2 linked regions of the Cricetulus griseus genome follow. The protein of the gene in region 1 interacts with the protein of each later gene in a pairwise test. Links are inferred from orthologs where the notes say so. Each region holds a gene or a part of one and is shown on either strand. Other genes may lie near its edges.

Region 1 (4,122 bases):
TAGTAAATATCAAACCTACTAAATTCTATAAGAAAAATTAAGTTACAAAATGGTAGACCTTGTCTTGTGCTACAAATAGTTTTATATTTTTTTTGTACATGTTTCTAAGTCTGCTCCCCTGACTCACTCAGCAGTTTGATGTGTTTTCCGTTTGTGGTACAGGGGTAAGCTTTCAACTTTCATCACATTTTCTGTTTCCACAGAAAACAGAGAAAGCTTTAAACATTAAGCAATATCAGAGTAAGTTACTTTAGGAAGGTTTTACTTTTACCCATTAAATCATTTTTAGTTACAGCATAGTGAAATATAAACTTCTACGGAATTTAAAACTTTAGTGTCACTCTTTAAAAAAAAATCTTACAAATCTTCACATAAATAATTTTTTCATTTATTATATTTCTAAAGTCCTGAAATAAAATGGGGAAGCTGTCAGGATGGAAATTTAAGCTGGGAATCTTAGACTCAAGAGCTTCATGATTTATTATCGCTACACATTCATTAAACAGCTACAATAAAAAATAAAAACAAACAAACAAAAAAACCTTGTACATAGCAAATATTAGCAAGGATACAGAACAAGAGAAATACACACCCATATGCTGTTGGTTGTGTCTTATAAAACTAAACAGAACTGGCCAGATGAGGTGGCGCAAGCCCTCAATCCATCCCAGCACTTGTGAGATCCAAGTCAGCCTGGTCTACAAAGCAAGTTCCAGGACAGCTGGGGCTACATAATGAAACACTGTCTCAAAATAAAACAAACAAAATAGCAGGGCATGCTGGCACAGGCCTTTAATCCCAGCACTAGGGAGGCAGAGGCAAGTGGATCTCTGAGCTGGACTATAGAGTTCCAGGACACCCAAGGCTGTTTCACAGAGAAACTCTTGTCTTGAAAAACCAAAACAGCACCACAACAAAACTCAAAAAGTAAACAGAAGCATTCTAATGCAGATAAAGGCATATATTGTCAAAATGATTTATATGCGACTGTTCACAGCAACTACAATTGAGAAAGACCCTGGACAGTAGATTGTGGCATATGCATGCTATGGAAAACCACAGAGCAGTTAGGTACTGAGCTGGGGACATGGGTCAGTGGTAGAGTGGAGCCTGTGCCTAGTATGCAAACATCTGGGGTGGGAGGGGTACAAACATTCACAAGGATGAATCTCAAAAATATGCTGAAGAGGGAAAGAAAAAAAGTCTTTCCCAAAAGATTTCATTATATACAACTCTGCGTATGTGAACTTCTGGACAGGCAAAATCAATCTCTGGTGGGGGAAAAAAAAATCCCCACGGGGGTGACAAAGAGTGACTTCTTTAAAGAGAAGGTGAGACAAAAGCTTTCAAGTCAGCTCTAACAGGCCACACCTAGTTGTGTGCTTGGCTGGCACAGGTGTAGATGGGTTTGTGAAAACTGGCTAAGGCACCCACGTGCACATCAAATTTATGTGGAATAAATTTCCACAACAGTGGTTTTCAAGTTAACTAACACGCACACGGCTTACGTGCCTTGTAAGGTGATACCGATATCGGTATTTACACCTTAAAAATGTATTTTAGAAATAAGGGACGCATAACACAGCAAGTGCAGGAAAATGTCAATCGTGGGTGAGGCACACACATGCTGGAAAACACAAAGACGTTCAACCTTTTACAGCAGCGTTAACAAGGAATGGTGATTCAGTCAACAGTAGTTCCCTCAGCTGATGCCACACACCCTCCTGTTTCACAAAAAAAAAACAAAAACAAAAAAAAAAAAAAAAAACGACTTCACCTTTGGAACTAGATAAACGTTCAGAGAACCTAAAGGCACATTCCAGTGCCTGTTAATTGCGTCCTCGCACAAAACCGTCCACGATGTTGAGACTGTCAACAATCCGAGTGCTCTAGAACGTGCTAAACAGATAAATCTGCTAACTTTTACCAGGGGCTCTTAATTAGCTGCAAAATTTGCTTTCCCTGAACGGGATTTAAAGCGATTATTTGTTTAGTAAGACTCCCCGTTAACACCAATTCTGTTTTCTTGCGTCCGGCGGCAACCACCTAACACCCCGGCAGGTAGGTATGGCTCTCGTCCCCCTGGAGTCGAACAATAACCTGCCCCGTGACGGGCGGGCGAGCCGGCGAGCGGGCGAGCGGCTGGGCGATGACGAAGGTTATTGAGACAGAAACAGCGAGTCGTCCGTGAATCAAAGTCTTTGACTTTTCTCCCTCGGGCGTGAGCTTATCACCAGGCTGACTGAAAGCGATCTCCACGTCACAATTTTAAATATATATGTATATATATAATAGCGTATATATAATAAAAGGCTGAAAGGTGTGGGGGGGACACACAACACAGAACGCAGCCTGCACGTGCTCCTCACCCCCAAATCTCTGCGATTCGCCGGCAGGTGAAACAATGACCCCCACCGGGCCCCGCCCGCCTCACCTCACCGCCCCGCCGCCCCGCCAGCCGGGCCACAGAGGCCGAGCGAGCGCCGCCCGCGCCCTGCCCGCCCGCTCCTTTGTCAGGAGCCGAGGCCCGGAGCTCGGCGGCCGCCGCTCGCCCTCCCCCGGCCCCGCAGAGCCCCGCAGAGCCCCGCAGGGCCGGGCCCGGCCGCCCTCCCCGCCCCGGCGCCCCGGCGCCCCGGGGCCTCACCTGCTGGACCGAGCTGTCCTCGGGCACAGCGAACTCCTCCTTCTCCTTGGGCGTCTTCACCGTGACCTTCATGATCTTGGGCTCCGCGGGGCCGCCGTCGGCCGCGGCTGCGTCCTGCGCGCCCGGGGGGCCGCCGCTCTCGGCGCTCTCGGCCATGGCGGTGACTCAGGCGACCGGGACCCTGCGGGCTGCGGCCGGCTCGGCGCGGCGCGGCGGAGCGGAGCGGGCACGGGCTGCGGCGGGGCCGCCGAGGGCGCGCGGGCACGGGCTGCGGTGCGGTGCGGTGCGGTGCGGGCCCGGGCGGGCGATCGATGGCTCGGCTGCCGTCTCCGCGTCGCCGCGCCGCCGCCGCCGCCGCCGCTTCCTCCTCCCGCACCTCCCCCACGTCCGTCGCCGGCGCCGCGCAGGGCACGCTGGGTAACGCGCTGGCCGCCGCGCCGACTCAGGGGCGCGGGGCACGCCGGGAAGCCGAGTCCTCGCCCGCCTCACGCCTGCCGCCGCCGCGCGCCGCCGCCGGGCTGACGAGGGGCGCGGGCTCCTCCGGCTCCAAGGCAGCCGCGGCGGCGGCAGGGGGAAGGGGACAGCGAGTTAACTCGGTTCGCTTCATCGCCCCCGCTGCGTCGGGAGCCGCTCCCCGGGGTCTCTGCGGGGCGCCGCCGCGGCGCCCTGAAATGACGTCACGGCCGGCGGCGAACTTGCTGGAAGCGGCCTGGCCCGCTGGGCCTGCGCTCCCGGTGTCCCCCGACCCGGCCCCGGTGGCCGGCGGCCCGCGCGGGCACTTGGTTCTGAGGAGCGCAGCGTGTGCCCGGGCGGAAGGGGCTGGGGCCGCCCGCCCGGCTCTGGGCCCCGCTGGAGCTGCGCCACCGCGGGCGGGCGCGGAGACGGGAACGGACGCGGGGCAGCGCCAGCGCCAGCGCCAGCGCGGGGCCCACAGCCCGCAGGCGTGGGTGCAGGGAGGCCGCGGCCCCGTCCCCGGAGCCAGGCCGGACACACGGCCGCCCTGCTCCGCCTTCCACGCTGTGCGCGGCAGACGCGGGTGCCCAGGGCGGGCCGCTCCACGGGTGGGCTGCAGCCTGGGGCTCGTGTGCGCCTCCAGGACGCGGTCCAAAGTTACTGCGCCCCCCCCCCCCCAGGCCCGAGGTGCCCTCCGGGGTAACCCCAGTGGAGAACGTAGGTCCAGTTAAGTTATTTCCGTTTCAGCCGTGACCCCCACGCCATCCATAACTTGCGATACATTGTGGCACTTGGCACACTAGCTGGTGCTGCACCAAGGTGAGCGCTGACAGAGCACCGTGACCCAAATACGCAAAGACATCCCATATTTTTGCTCTTAGGCCATCGAACCCTTTTCCGTGATTAACTGCTGTTGCATAAACACGTCTTAGCAGAGCCCTTTGAAATCTGGGTCAGAGTTGCGGCGGCGGTGTAAATTGCAAGACGAGGTATCGGTGGATATCACTTAGTGCCTGCCAGCATTG
Region 2 (4,117 bases), on another chromosome or scaffold:
GCCTTTTGACTTTTCACTCAGGCCCTCTCTCAAAACCACCTCTAACCCCAAATCTCTTCTCACCTCCAATTAACTTCTCACTTCCATGTTAAAGCTCAGTGGAGGAGGGGGTAGCCTACAGAAACAAGTCCCCACCCAGCAGTTCTTTCCCTACCATGCCTCTCCTCCTACAAGGAGGGAGAAGTGGCAAGGTTGGGAGAAGGACCGGGGCTCATACCGCAGTCTCCCCCTTGCTGCTGTGGCTGAGTCTGTGGTAGAAACGACGCCATGACTGCAGGGTCTTGCCAGACCAGATCCAGAAGCCGGTAGTGATGCCCACGATCATGGTCATCAGGTACTTGATCATGAAGACTGTGAAGTCGGGGCTCATGGGCGGGAAGTGACCCGGAGGGCAGGGCACAGCGTAGCTCTTGCAGGTCTGTAGGAGCCAGGTGCGCTCCCAGTGCTCGCGGAAGGCCTGCTCGTAAAAGTAGCAGGCCAGCACGATGGTGGCCGGCACCGTGTAGAGCACGCTGAAGACGCCGATGCGCACCATGAGCTTCTCCAGTTTCTCGGTCTTGGTGCCGTCGTGCTTCATGATGGTGCGAATGCGGAAGAGAGACACAAAGCCGGCCAGGAGGAAGGACGTACCGATGAAGAGGTAGACGAAGAGGGGCGCAAGCACGAAGCCCCGCAGCGCATCCACACTAGACAGGCCCACGTAGCACACTCCACTGAGAAGGTCCCCGTCCACCTGGCCCATGGCCAAGATGGTGATTGTCTTGACTGCCGGCACAGCCCATGCGGCCAGATGAAAGTACTGCGAGTTAGCCTCGATGGCCTCGTGGCCCCACTTCATGCCAGCTGCCAGGAACCAAGTGAGGGACAGAATGACCCACCAGATGGAGCTGGCCATGCCGAAGAAGTAAAGCACCATGAAGAGGATGGTGCAGCCCTCCTTCTTGGTGCCCTGCGCCACCGTGCGGTAGCCATCGTCCGAGAAGCGCTCCACGCACACGGCACGGTCCTCCAGCAGGAAGCCCGCCACGTGCGCCACGGCCACCATGAAGTAGCAGCCCGAGAGGAAGATGATGGGTCGCTCTGGGTAGCTGAAGCGCCGCATGTCCACTAGGTAGGTGAGCACCGTGAAGAGCGTCGAGGCGCAGCACAGCACCGACCACACACCCACCCAGAGGCGGGCGAAACGCCTCTCCTCCTCTTTAAAGTACATAAGGCCGTTAGCACGGCCGGGCTCACACGGGGCACCGCAATCGCGCTCACCTAGGAAGCGGTAGCCCAGGTAGGGGGGCACTTTGAGCTGGCGCGGGCACGAGAAGGGGAAAGACCACCGGCCTCTGCCATCTGAGGGGGGCATGGCAGTGAAAGGCGGGTCTGGCAGGTAGGGAGCAGTAGGGTAGGCGGTGGGACTGCCGCCCGCGCCCCCGGAGCCGTCAGACGTGTTCTGGCCCACGCAGATCTCGCCGGCGCCGTGCACCGGGAAGTTCTCGCAACGCAGCCGCTCAGGCCACTGGAAGCCGAACTTGTTCATGAGAGCCTCGCAGCCTTGGCGGGCGCGCTCGCACAGGGAGCGGCACGGAGGAATGGCTTGGTCGAGCACCGTGCATACGGGCGCGTACATGGAGCATAAAAAGAAGCGCAGCTCGGGAGAACACTGCACCTTCACCAGCGGGTAGAACTGGTGCACCTCGAGGCCGGCGTCCTCTTGGTTCGTGTGGCCCAGCAGGTTGGGCAAGATGGTCTGGTTGTAGGCGATATCCGTGCACAACGGGATGGAGATGGGCTGGCAGAAGCCGTGGTCCGGTACCGAGATGCCCTTCTCGCCGTGGTACGGCTGAGCCCGGGTGCCCGCAGGCAGCGCGCCCAGAAGCGCCAGCAGCAGGGCGCACAGGCCCAGGGGCGAGTGCGACGCCGCAGTGCCGGGGCCCCGCATCGCGGGCCGCGAGTGCAGTGGCGTTCTCAGCTGGGGGAAAAAGACGAGGCGCTGGGGAGCGGCTTGGATGCAGGGAGGCGCCGCCGCGCCCGGCGCATGAGAGTCCTCCCGGCGCCGGGGCCGGGCCGTGGGCGGCGCGGAGCCGAGGGCGCTAGGTGCCTGCACGGCGGGGGCGAGGCCGCCAGTCGAGGGGGCGCCGCAGCCGCCTCCGCGTGGCACTCACGCGGCCGCCGGGGGCTCAAACTCCTGGGCCTGGGCTGGGGGATCGGGGGTGGGGTGTCGCCTTACCCTCCCCGCCGAGACGTAACGGTGCGGCTTTCTCTTGGGCGACGGGCTCCAAGCGTCTCCGGTTACCTTTCAAAGTTTGCCCAAGTCTCTCGAGCCCCGGGCGCACGGCGATGCCCACGTCCCCACACCGGGTAGGGCCTCCGCCAGACCAGAGCCCCGCGTCCCCGCCTGCTCGCCCCGGCCGCCGCCTCGGCGGTGCAGCTCCGCCTTCTCGCCTCGAGGCCCCGCGGGCCGCCGCCTCCTCCTCCTCCTCCTCCGAACCTCGAGCCTCCTTCAGCCCGGGGAAGGTCGGCCCCAAGTTTCAGTCAAACGTCTGGTTCTCAATTTGAGTCCGATCGGTCCCCAGGAGCTAAGAGCTGGGCGAGTTCTTTTTGGAAACCCAGTTGCGCGGAATCCCAAGCGCCGAGGCTCCTGCACCCGCGGCCTGTCTGCTCTCGGCCTCTCCTGCCGGCTCAGTCCCGGCCGGCGAGTCCCCGCGTCCGCCGCCGCCCGCCAGGGAAGGAGCGCAGAGTAACGCCTGGGAGCCGCGCTGGTGGCTAGAAGAAGCGTCGGGCTCGCAGGGTTTCGGGCCGCCCCGCCCCCTCCCCTCCCCCCATTCACAAACCACTCCGGGGGCGGGCCCCGAGCCCTCCGGAGGCCCAATAGCGCGCTTTGTTTTCTCTGTAGACGCCTTCCGATTGGGTGGAAGTCGGAAGGGGCGGCCGAGGGAACGAGGAAGGCGGTGCCTGAAGCGCTCTGGGCGGATTCCTGAGGGGAGGGGCGGGGGACTGGGAGAGAAAAGTTAGGAGAAACTTTTACCCAGAATTTGCTCAGGGGAGAAGAACGCACCAGAAAGGGAATTTGTTTGAAAGATTGGTTCCTCTTCCGGATACCCTAAAACACACATTCCTGAGCAGAAGGGCGCATTCGCCAAAGGCTTCGGCGAGACGCTGAGAATAGCGCAGCGCTTGGGCGGAGAGACGTGACCCAGAGTCACGTTAGCCTGGCTGGCTTGGGCGGGAGGCTTTTGGTTAGCATCAGTGTGGGTCGGGAAGGGGCTGCGACTGAAGATCGCTCTTTTCTCCCCATACCCAAACGACCACATGAAACCACAATCCCCTCTCCCTCCCCCCAGTTACAAAGAAGGGGGCCTCCTGGAAGGAGAAACCCGAGTCGGCCGAGGTGGGGACTTGTGGCGGGAGGAAGTGCAGACCCTCGGAGGAGAGGGCCCAGAGCTGGGGGTGCGCGGGACTCAAGAGCCAGCCACCCCGCCCGCGCGCACTGTGGGGAGCGTAGGGAGCCCGAGAGGTTGGGGGTGGGGTTGGAGGACGCTAAGGCAGTGCTGGGGGAATGCTTATGAAAGCAACCTGAGACCGAGTACCCGGGACTCTCCGTACGATTTACTGAGCGCCTTCGGTTGCCCTGTGTGGCCTTCGGGGGTCCCGTTTTCGTTGCAGAAGCAACCATTTGATCTTTGCATTTGGAATCTACATAGAAAAGTTTTAAAGCGCGTTAGAAACCAGGGCATTTGCTAATTAAAGGGCTTTTGAGACACAAAGAGGGGTTATTTTCCTTCTGGGATAGCGTTTTTCTGATTGGCAAGCGTTCTTTTGTCCTCGGTCAAATCTTAACCCTGCTCCAGGCACTGGGCGCTCGTGCGCCTTGTCTGCCTGTCCCGGACCGGTCGGAAGTTACTAAGGGACCTCTGCTCTCTCAGAGGGGCCAGCAAGGAATATCATGAATATTATGAATTCCCGGGCAGGGAAGTGACAAGTTGAATCTCTCTGTCGTCCCTGAAGTCTTACTTTCAAAAAAACGTCATTCCTGGCTGAGTCCTACTTTCTACCTGTCTCAGTTGGTTGCCGGTATATGAGAGATTTTTGATCAGTTTGAATGTTGAATGTTGGCAGGAGTCATTGC

The links.
Region 2: the proteins of Ubqln1 (region 1) and Fzd7 interact in binary tests that used the Homo sapiens proteins (3 or more experiments, as listed by UniProt). The two-hybrid records come from large-scale screens. The link is inferred for Cricetulus griseus from reciprocal best matches to the Homo sapiens genes UBQLN1 and FZD7.

What each region holds. Positions count from the first base shown.
Region 1 is NC_048596.1:277,235,694-277,239,815, forward strand, and holds the start of Ubqln1 (ubiquilin-1), read right to left. Parts: upstream 2,801-4,122; coding exon 2,645-2,800; intron 1-2,644. Other genes in the region: translation initiation factor IF-2-like, read left to right, coding at 2,799-3,047, 3,091-3,828. UniProt on the Homo sapiens protein: Plays an important role in the regulation of different protein degradation mechanisms and pathways including ubiquitin-proteasome system (UPS), autophagy and endoplasmic reticulum-associated protein degradation (ERAD) pathway.
Region 2 is NC_048595.1:413,755,493-413,759,609, reverse strand, and holds the start of Fzd7 (frizzled-7), read right to left. Parts: upstream 2,801-4,117; 5' UTR 1,931-2,800; coding exon 212-1,930; 3' UTR 1-211. UniProt on the Homo sapiens protein: Receptor for Wnt proteins.